Linked DNA regions of Drosophila melanogaster. The gene in region 1 interacts genetically with each later gene. Each region holds a gene or a part of one and is shown in the gene's direction. Other genes may lie near its edges.

Region 1 (3,757 bases):
ACCCACACAGCGAAGATACCCATACCCATACCCATATTCGTAGTCGTACGAAGTCCATAATGAATATGTCACGAACTTGCACCCGCTGATCTTAAATCGGCGACTGTTTCGATACTCCCGACCAGCTCAAGGGGTATGGAAGTACTTAAGCTAACGATAAAGATACGGCTATCAGCAGTTGTAGCGAAAGCCAGTAAACAAGAAAGATAGTGCAATGATGCAGTGAATCATTGAAGAGTTACTAACCTCTCGGAACGCTCACACCGAGCCGCACTATCTTGTGTTTCCTTCCGCTGGAAGCTTCCGATAACTGCTTTCTCGCTCCTGACCATGGGTCTGCCTTTTCTATCAAAACTACCATTGAGTAATAGGTGTAACAACATCGAACTGATAAGACGATTTTATATATATTGATGTCGCAACTTCGAAAATTACTCACCTTTCGATGGCCCGACCATGTATCATCAGTAATTTTGTCATTTGTACTTTATTTGGGTCAGCCGCAGATCAAAAATCGGTTTTGCATTCAATTTCGTGGCCAATTAGCACTTGAACCCAAGACCTCAGTCTAAGTTCAGAAATTGCCGGCAAGTTGTTTCGGATATCTGTGTGTACATACAGTGGTGCACGCCACTAAACGATCATGTTTCGAAATGAAATACATTTGAATGTGATAATACCAAAATATGATTTTACTATCTCTTACCCCGTGGGGGTTATATATTTATGATAAACTTGCATTTATCGCAGAACATATACATTTTCAAAACAATCATTTATAGATTTTATAGCATTTCGACTCATCAAGGGACTAGATCTACTGCGGTTCTAGATTGGCTATGATTAAGTGACAGTAAATTGAGTTTAAGTGGACATTGATATTGGATATATCAAGGCTGCTTATGCAAGAGCATTATCAATGACTATTTGGGATTTCCAAAAGATTGTGAATGGAAAAAGATAATCATCCTTTCGAATACTACGTTGAGTAACCGGCAGCGGCTAACATTCGTATTTTGATTCATTCAAAAATATAACCGGCTTGGTGAATAATACTCTGCAGTATATGATAACAAGTACCCAAGAATATATGGGCTTTTTTTTTTTTGATCTGGGTTTTTTATTTTCGAGGGTGTGGGTGTATTCATACTTATTCATAAATATTAGAAATCAAATGTAGCTAACTCATATCGATTCATTATTTTTTAGATTTTAGTTTCCTTTTTCATGGAACTACTCGATCAATCAATATTTAACGCCATCTGCCTTGTGTTTATTGTGCAATAGGCAAATGTCCCAACTTGGCGGAAACGTGTTAGACTGACACTTTTTAGGTAGCCAAAATCGAAGAGTATAAAGTAGCCAAAAAATATTAATATCGAAGAGCAGAGAGAAATATTAATATACACTTAAGAAAAGAACCTACCCAAAGTCACACAGACCAACATAATTTGAAATATTTGAAGCTATTATACTATTTAAAAAAAATTTTGTTTATTATTGTTTTACAATAAAATACCAAAAATCAAATCATAAGAGTATATGGTATAAAATTATAATGAATGTAGCAATAATTTATATACTGCTACCGATTTAAGTTTAAATTAAATTAAATTAATTAAATTACTTTTTTATGAGTCAAATATAATAACAAAGTGGAAAATACATAAATGTCTTTGACCACGGTGTTTGTACTTTCAGTTTTAATATAATTCTTTCATATGTAAAAAGGAAATTTTAAATACATTGGATTTCAGATCTCTAAATAAAAAACTATACAAATACGGATGAACAAAGTTATAGGCTCAGAATTTAAAAAGATTATTACGAAAAAAAAAATGTTTTTTGCTGCCTAATTTAAAATAATTTTTTAAAATCCTTTAGAGCCTCTTGGAATTCGTGCTTTTTCTTTCTGTGCCCCCTTAAGAGCGTGAGACAAGAGCGAGTTTCTTCTACTCTTACGTATTTTCATAAATCAACCGCGATCGCTGGCATATCCGCCCAAATGAAGAGAAGCTACTCTGTATTTTTGTGCTCTTTGTGCCCGCCTCTTCAAGTCGCTTCACGTCGAGGCAAGTCAGCAGTTCAGTCACATTTAGACATCCGCGCGGTAAACCCGCTTTCGGCGGTATAACGAGATTTTTTATTTCGAATTCGACAGAAACAAATAAATGTAAAAAGGAGAAATTGAGATTTATGCTTGCACAAAACACGCGAATAAAAGAGCACCGCCCACTTCTAGCGTTTTCTTTTGTGGGGTGAACAAAGCGACGTAACGGTTGACAGGAATCGGGTAACGCGAATCGGGAATCGGTGTTGGTATCGGGCATATACTAAAAAACGGATGAACAAGGAAAGTCTTTCCTTTGTGCAGCCACTGCGTGCTAATTAATTGTGTTTTTGTGGCCAAGTGGCATTCTATAGTGTGCATTCTATACACACCAAATTTAAATTCTATCCAGCCCAACCCAACTCAACGCCCCCAGCTCCTTGTTTTCCCACCATTCGTATGCGTCATATGTAAAAGAGCGCAAAAGGGCGGAAGGCACAGAGAGAAAGGAAAGCCAAGGAAAGAAGCAGTGGCCACAACAAAGCGGCAAGCACAAAACGCCAGAACAAGAAGCGCCAAACGGAAAAACGGGAATACCCCCGCCCAATCCCCACCGCTCCCCGCCACAACCCATCGCTCCTTCCGTTGTTTTTGTTGCTGCTGCAGCTGTATTTATGCTGCCGGGTATTCGTGTGAGTGCCGCCAATGCGCATGTGTGTCTGTGTCAACCCCCGCGGCCGAGGCGACAACAATAGCAAAAACAACAACAGCAGCGAAACTAAAACAAAAGTGAAAAGTTCAATTCCCAGCTTAGCACTACGAATTGTTAGTCCACCACATCGGTTAATTAAGCCTCGAACATAGAATAAAGATAAATACACAGTTTTGTTCCTACTGATCGAGGAATAGTTTCGTGTCCAAGTGTTTTCGTTGCGCGAGCGAAAGAGAGCGGCGAAATGTTTTCCAAATATGTTCTCGCCACCCTGCTCGCACTCTTTGCGCAATCCATGTGCATCCAGGAGCTGTCCCTCCCACCCGAAGGATCTCACTCCACCGCTGCGACCAGGTCCAAGAAGGCAAAAACCGCTATCTCCGAGGATATAATGGTAAGGCTCCAAATTTGAAAACTTCGATTTTTCCGAACCCAGCTTTTTTAAGCTCTATAAGATGATATATCGTATCGATCAAGTTAGTAAATTTGGGTGTTTATACAAAGTGCATCGACTGAAATGAAAATAATTCCCCAAAATAAAACGCAATGCAATCAATCATCCTACATATATCTGATGGTAAATGCTTAAGCACTGTTTGACCCAATTGCCATTTCAATAAAAATTCATCAATAATTGACATTTGAATCCCTAGAGCTGTTGGAAATCGCACAATGTTTGCAATAAAAATTGTAAAAGCAATTATTGAATGTGACATAAATAATTAAACAATGTAAATAGGAAGTTAAAGAGCAAGAAGGTAAATTAGAAAGGGGACAAAGGAAAACAAAATTAGCCTACAGTAGGCGCATTTTCATTCCGGCGGCTCAGATACTCAATCCGTATCTCCGCATTTGGTAGCAGACAGTAAATCGAGAGGCGGGTTAAGTACAATCGAGATAGACGGATCTGAAGGCCCCCAGCACACATATCCCCCCCTCCCCCTCACTCCACGATGCAGATGCTGCTGTGGCTGCTCGAGCCTATGACCTCAAAA
Region 2 (3,757 bases), on another chromosome or scaffold:
TACCCAATTGCTTGGGTATTTGTTGTCAAATGAAATTAAATTTATAAATCTTAAGAGTACAGAAATATTAAGTCAAAAGAAGGCAAGACTAATAATCTATTAAATTTACTATAAAACTTAACTAGTAAGTTCCGCCTCTAAAATTTCCATTTTAGCCAAAGTCGAGGGCTAGTTATTATCTGCACATATCTTTCCTATCTGCCATGAACTCAACCGTTATCTTGTTTGCCAACCTTTTATGCGTCTTACAATGGCATCTACTTTTCCAACTCTTCCAAAGATAATATTGTCCTCTCTGGCAGCTGGCTAATTAGGGTACAATGAAATCAGGACAATATCTCTAAATAATATGGGTTTAGTTACTTGCAAATGCAGAACACTTTTTAAACGGAGTATATCTTCTTTTTGCAGGAGATGCCACTGATGCGAGAACAGGATCGACCGAGAAGCGAATCACCTTCACCCTGGCTCCCAGTTCGGCCGAATGCTCGCCGTCGGGTAGCCAAACGACACTTACTCCCAAAAAGTTCGAGGCCATTGCCGAGGAGGAGAAGGAGGACGACAAGGCCGATGAGGAGGAGGAGATCATGGAGGAGGTGGTGCTGCGACCTCGCCTCATCGACCGGCATCCTCATCTGCTGGCCAACCCCAGTGGACTGACGACCACGCCCAAACGGATCCTGCGATCCGCCAAGAGCGTTCCGCACATGAATGTCCGTTCGTCGGCCAGTGAGACGGATATATTCTCCATTAGCGGTACGATGACCGGAAGCAGTCAGATCAGCATGACGCCGGAGGTGCCATCGATATCGTTCAGTAATCTGCCTAAGAACTACGAGGACACGCCCACTATTGAGAAGTACCGGGTATCGCAGAGTCTCTATTCCATTCAAACGGCGAATGCTGCTCGGGCCACACAGGATGATTACTCCATGCCGCGCTACTTCCGTCGATCTGCCATGCTATTGACCCAGAGCTCTGAGGTGCTGCCCGGCGCCAGTTCACTGGCCTCCATGTCGCCATCGATGGCCTCGTCCTCTGCCTCGCCCGGGTCCTCCAAGGACGAACTGCGACGGCCAGAGAAGGAGAAGAGCAAACGACTCCAGATGCTGCGTGGCAATCTACCGCCCTTACTTATTCATTCCGTGTCCTTCAAACGAAATCGCGACGAGGGCAAGCAGGTTGACTAGTCGCACTGCAGATATACATATTTATTTGTTAATCACTTTGTCCATGTTTTTAATGTTTTAAATTTATTAGCCTTTAGTACCTGCTTATGCGTTTTCTGTATTATCTTCTAAGCAATGACCTTGTCCAAACAATTCCTCAGTATTCAGATGTACTTCATTTTGAATTAATGATTGATATTACAAAATAAATTGTATTTTACCACAAAAAACAGCGATTAAAGATCCTACTTAATAAATCTTTATAAAAATCTAAACGATATCTATTTGTACCATTTTAAAAGAAATAAATGCGAGCTTGAAAAAAAATGCACTTATCTCCCCGACGGGGAATTGAACCCCGGTCTCCCGCGTGACAGGCGGGGATACTAACCACTATACTATCGAGGATGTTATACAAAGTGAGTCAAACTCGGGTTTTCCGTTTGCGGAGTGTGAATGCTTGTTTCAATTTCATCTGTTCCCCATTTGTACTCTGAAGACAGTGTGCAAGCTCGAGACGGTTGTTTGACAGTGGGTAGACAACATCCTCGATAGTATAGTGGTTAGTATCCCCGCCTGTCACGCGGGAGACCGGGGTTCAATTCCCCGTCGGGGAGAGATGTAAAAATTACTTTTTGTTGATTGTTTTAATTTATTAATTTAATTTTTTAATTTTTTAATTTCAAAATTTAAGTAATGCAATACATGTTTCAGACCAACAAATTAAAATAAAAAATTGCACCATATAGCTTAAAAAAACGTCAAACATGTATATTTAATTAGGTCATCCTGGAAGTGATATATAATGAAACACATTTCAACGGGTATATAAGTTTTGTTAAGGGGTAACTGTAAGCCGGACCCATTTAGCTTACCACCCAATATGGTAGCACTGGCTGTAGAAATTCCCAATGGCAACGCTAGTCGACCAGTTTTCATTCGTATTGGCGTGTGTGTTGTTTGTACAACAAAACATTCTAGTTGTTTTATTTGCAAGGTGCTCATATAAAAACATAAACAATATATTTCGTAGAGTGCCCTAATAATTTATTAAGTTGTGAATTAAACAAATATGAATAAGAAGCGTGTCCAAGTGAATTGGTTAAATTGTAAATTATAAATAAAGCAATACATATAAACGGCCGGCAAAACAGAGAGCGCGTTTTAAGAGAGAACCTAATAGGAAAAGAGTGTAGAGCTGCCAGGTTTCAATTAGGTACCAGGTACCAAACGTATTTATTATTCGAGAAGAACTATTTTTGGTGACTAAATATGGTTTCTGATTATAGAAGTGTTCTCCTAATATATAATTTTTAAAAATTTTTTTCTACACGTGCCCTCAGATTGTTGATATTCAAAATTCGTACACAAACGCCCTTGACAGGCGCAGTCTCACCCGCGCCCACTGAGAGCGGAACGACGGAAATTTCAAACATTATTTCTATTTTCTATTTGAATTGAAACTATGTATTTTCCATAATTTTCAAAATATTCTTGATTTTTTTTGAATAACTAAATTAATTATTTTAAGTATCGCGAGGGAGAATAAGAGTTTAAAGCGGCCGATTATATTGAGGGGGAGTTTCAGTCAACGAAAAGGAAATAGTGAGAGGAGAGGGCTTATTGAAGAGAGCCTCTCATTTTAAAATTTCTCTTTAAGCGTGTTCCTTCTAAAGGACACAAGAAACTAATATGTTTATGAAATAAGAAACTTAACCGTGTATGTGTTTTCCAATTTTGCGTGAACAAATAAAAGAGCTCAAGCATTTTATCGTTTGAGTAATTTTAGATAAAAATTTATTAATATTTTTTAATGTTTTCAATTTGCCATAGACAACATTTTTTCCAATAAAATTCGGTAATATAAATAACATGGTGTTATGGCCTGCAATTTTTATATAAATTTTTAGTAGCACGCTCTTAGTTTAATATTTAGGTCAATAAAATAATTATCCTTATTGTTTTTTTTTTTAATTTGCATATTGTTTGTTGACCAGCTGTTAAGAGAAGAGAGGAGAGAGAAAAAGAGAACCGAAAAAGTGACCGTTCGCGACTTCGCAGTCAGCGCTGGAAAACGCACTAACGCGCGGAAAATGCCCTAGCGCCAGAGAAAGTGCCATTTGAGACTGAACTCTCTTTCGTGCGAGTTCCCTTTTCATTCGAAAATTTAACGCCCGCGCTGCTGCAGCGCGTTGTTGCTCCGGTTGGAAAATATCTGAAAACAGCATTAATAAATAAACAAAAATATTGGATAAATCGCCGGTAGAAACGCTGCATAAAACGAAATTTGGTTTCTTGTAAAATATTATTTTTCAAGATATTTTCTTGTTAATTTCCGGATATTCGACAAGGATATAAATGTTTCTTTCGCGTTGATAAACAAATTCCAGCACCGCTACCTTTGTGTCGCGCAATTGTGAAAAGTGATTTGTCCATTGTGTACATTAATTAATAAATTGGTAATTGCTCAATTTAGAAACATGTGCAATCGAGAGCTAGTGTGAGTGTTTGTGTGCAACAATAATAAAGCCGAAAATTGCCCAATTGCAATTGGCAATCACAACAAAATTGGAATATTATGGCACATT
Region 3 (3,757 bases), on another chromosome or scaffold:
TCTCCAGGCGAGCGGTGGCCACTCCGCCATGGCAATGTCCAGCCTTCAGCACGCTTGGGAACTTGGTGAATTGGAACTGCAAGTGCACGGAGAGAAAGAATTTATAATTTAGTTAGTTTAGTTTTTAACCATGTTTTTATGATGGTTTTCTATTGAGGCGAGCACGATATATTGTGATTATCCCAAATAAATATGTCATAATCTCAAAGTGAATATTAATAATTTTAGGACTAATCTGACTAATCCAAAAAATTGAATAGTTTCAGATTTTATAAATAGCCTTTAAACATTTTTAGAAAAGTTTTATAGACCTCGCTTTAATGACTGACATACTTTATGGTACATTAAGTTAAATAAAAAAAATGTATATATTTAAAACACTTTCTTCTTGTGTTGGGAATAAAGACACCGAGGCAATCACAATATGTTTTTCACTGTCTGATTGAAATTCTATAAATTACAATATACCGATGAGCTCTTTACTTCCATTTTTTCTCATTTTATTTTCTGCGGAAATCAAGGGGCGATGCTTATTAATCCATTGGATAAGTGCCAAATTCATTGGTTGTTTTTGCCCTCATTCCGATCACGAATCTGGCCATGGAAATTTTCTTTTGATTTGCCAGACGAATTCCAAGAATCCTCGATCATTAGTCAGGCAGGAACATTTCATGAAAATACCTTATAGTTATTAATGGCGCATGCAAATCACTATTAAATATGCAACAGCAACAATGCCCAGCCCTCAAATATTTGACTAATTCGCATTTTATTAATTTTACATCGTTGCTCATGGTTATTACATTTATATATGCAAATCGCCAACCGATTACCCTTGTTAATCATCTCTCCCAGACCCAAAGCCATATTTAAACAGTTGATAAATCACAAGTAAACACATGGGCTTAATTTTGTGTTGCATTGGCAGAGAATGAATAAATCAAAATAAAACCAAATGGAAAACCATAACAACCATGACGCAGCTCGAAGAATTGTCGCAATTGCCGCCGATGAAAGACCGTCCTGTTGACAGAAAGCCCCAAACAAACAGAGTGCGAGAAATCTCTCAATGAACATAAATATATATAGGTATCTGAGATGTATCTGGACCGAGAATAAGAGTGACTATCAGAATGAGACGTCACACCCCCACATAGCCAGCATTCTTGGAAGCTGCTACGTGTTCCGCCTGAGTACCCACCGTCTAGGGAACTGCATCTCGGTTATATCAGCGGACTTAAAATATGCACTGTGACGCATTCGTAGTGCCCTGAAGCGGGTTCATCGATTGACAGTGGTGTCTGGTGTATAAGTGCACAGGAAGAAAACGATTTAAATAAGTTTCAACATTGGCACAGACCACTATACTGATCACAATTGTAAAACCCTATTATATTAAATCTTATAATTTTGTAATATTATTATAATATTCTTAAGCCATCAGTAGTGCAACGTTAAGTATCCCCAACCGTTTCTCGCCGTGTAGATCTGTAGTGCGGTGGCGTTACCGGGTCGGGTATGCAGATTATGGCAACGTGCTGTAGGTGGAGCATGGAGTATGATATGAAGCATGACCGGAGCAACAGCACGTGTGTGCGCCACATGGTCAGAGGAAGAGGAAGTTGGATCTCTGGCGAGTTTACGACTGGGCATAGCTGAATTATTAGTTGATTTGCGGCCTGACAGATGCGCTATTCTCTGCCGTTTCGTGTGGCGATCTCTTTTTGGCCATGGCGCCAAGTAACTACAACTATGCATATTGTATGCTATTATATGGCCGAGAGCATAAACCAGGCCCCTGCACGCAATTAATAAAGCTGCCAAGGTAACAAAATAAACGCAAAGAAAAATGCAATCGACTCTCCTCCACTTTCCACTCATTTGGGGCGAATTTATGGCGCTTTTGATCGCCCGACTGCCGCAAGAAACACTCAAGTTATAAAGACACGAGTGGATTCGACTCAAACGATCGATCGATCCGATCTCTCACTTCCCGAACAACTTGAGTGAAGAAAACAGTCGAATCGGTTGACTTGACGATCCAGTGCAGAACCGCAAGCGCAGCGAGCTAGAACGCCACAAAATCGGCGACGGAAAAATCGCGACATCGTACGAGATATATAGTACCAAGTAGTATAAAGTGCTGACGAGTCGAATCGAGTGCGAGTGCGAGTGCGAGTGCCGGTGAAAATACATTCAATTGTTTTTCCCGATTTTTGTGCCCTCGGGTTCAAGTGTTTAAAAGCCTGAAGTGCTAGTTTTACACACAAAATAGGTTGCAGCTTAAAGGTAACAAACTAGGCTTATTTTGCTAATTTTTGGTAATTTAAGAATTGAGTACTTGAATGCTTAATTGTGTTAATTTATTTTAAAAATTTCCGCATTGCCAAGTGTTGTGTCAGAAGTTAAATAGCCGGAATAAAATGGTTTGCTTATTTTTCCGCAAACAGAATTTTCATATATGTTTGAAAGGCAAAAAAAAGTTTCAGCTCAAAGAGCAGATTCAAAATAGCTTTTGTGGAGTTTTTAGCTAGAAATATTTTAAAATTAATTTTCTCTTATCAATTGATTTTTAAACTTTTCTCTTCTTTGATGCATTTTCCCCTGAGGTGCAAATTTCCACCTCAAAAACAAGTTGCAACTCAAAAGCCAAAGTACACAGCCATGTTTGTTTTTATTTTATTTTAGTTTTAGTTTTAGAGTTGTTTGGCATTTAGAAGATTGAAATTGAAATTGAAGGTATGCAAAACGCGCGACACAGACGCGTTGTGTATTTTATTTTGGGGCTATTTAAAACGCGCAGTGGGAAATGTGCCGACGTGACACAGCGACACAGTTTTCCAACGAAACGCTCATTTCTATTTATTGGCGTTTATTTATAATTTGTTTTTATTTGCCTAGCTGTGCATCTGCCTTCCCTGATCTTTTGGAGCGCCCCGAGTTTTCTTCTGGCCTTTCGAATTGTCTTAATAGTTTTTATTGTCGCCAATTTGTAAACAAACTGCAGGCCATTAAGAAATATACAACTAGTTTGCTTGTGCAATCCAGTCTGATCGTAAAGCCCATTTGAATCTGTGATGTACAAGTAACAATTTTGTTGGATGTCAAGGAAAGCGAAACGGTTGTGTGCGCCAGAGGTATTTCCATATTACGCATACGTCATGTGTGTTTTGGCATTGGCCATTTAGTGTCTAAAAATAAAGAAAAACATTTAATGCTTCTCGACTCTCACAAAAAAAAAAAAAACACCAATAAAATGTACAAGCACATCACAAGGGAGGGGAGTAAAGACTTCTCCAGGGAAATGCATTTCAAGTGGGTTTTCCCCTTTCTTTTCCATTGAGTTTTCTTTTGACAACTCGCATTGTTTCGCATGGATATTCATAATTTCGTTTTCCTTCATTTGACTTTGGATTCACTGTTGGCTTTTCGTTTTGTTTGTGCGCCATTTAAATGAGCTTGTATTTCGTATTGGCTTTTCAGCTTTTCTGGGATATTATATACTACGTTGACTTTTATTTTCTTTTTTTTTGCCATCAGATAACACTTATTATCGAATGGAATTTAAATTTCTAAAGTCTGCTAATTTTTGAATTGAATGCATTGTTTGCTTTTCTTACGACACATATTGCCATATGGCACCTTAACATTATCTTAACCGCAATTGCTTATTGAGGGAGAGAAAATCCGGTTAGTAGGCTACACTGAAATAAAAAAAAAATGTGTCCTAAAGATACTAGAGTGTTTGTACTCATCA

The links.
Region 2: of Mmp2 (region 1) and Sema1a, changing one suppresses a phenotype caused by changing the other (phenotypic suppression), as found in Drosophila melanogaster (one study listed by BioGRID).
Region 3: of Mmp2 (region 1) and Timp, changing one suppresses a phenotype caused by changing the other (phenotypic suppression), as found in Drosophila melanogaster (3 studies listed by BioGRID).

The regions. Positions count from the first base shown.
Region 1 is NT_033778.4:9,682,182-9,685,938, reverse strand, and holds the start of Mmp2 (matrix metalloproteinase 2), read left to right. Parts: upstream 1-2,080; 5' UTR 2,081-3,006; coding exon 3,007-3,156; intron 3,157-3,757. UniProt on the Drosophila melanogaster protein: Has metalloproteinase activity. Proteolytically cleaves the PGRP-LC receptor; involved in gut-fat body innate immunological communication (GFIC)-mediated activation of the imd/Relish signal transduction pathway.
Region 2 is NT_033779.5:8,540,047-8,543,803, forward strand, and holds the start of Sema1a (semaphorin 1a), read left to right. Parts: upstream 1-2,100; 5' UTR 2,101-2,166; intron 2,167-3,166; exon of another isoform or gene 3,167-3,669; intron 3,670-3,757. Other genes in the region: CG17834 (uncharacterized protein), read left to right, coding at 412-1,190. UniProt on the Drosophila melanogaster protein: Involved in growth cone guidance through its role in axonal repulsion. Function in neurons is essential for adult survival, motor neuron survival, and is important for climbing behavior and activity.
Region 3 is NT_033777.3:10,211,291-10,215,047, reverse strand, and holds the start of Timp (tissue inhibitor of metalloproteases), read left to right. Parts: upstream 1-2,040; 5' UTR 2,041-2,289; intron 2,290-3,757. Other genes in the region: Syn (synapsin), read right to left, coding at 1-76. UniProt on the Drosophila melanogaster protein: Metalloproteinase inhibitor that acts on both matrix metalloproteinases Mmp1 and Mmp2 in vitro. Complexes with metalloproteinases and irreversibly inactivates them by binding to their catalytic zinc cofactor.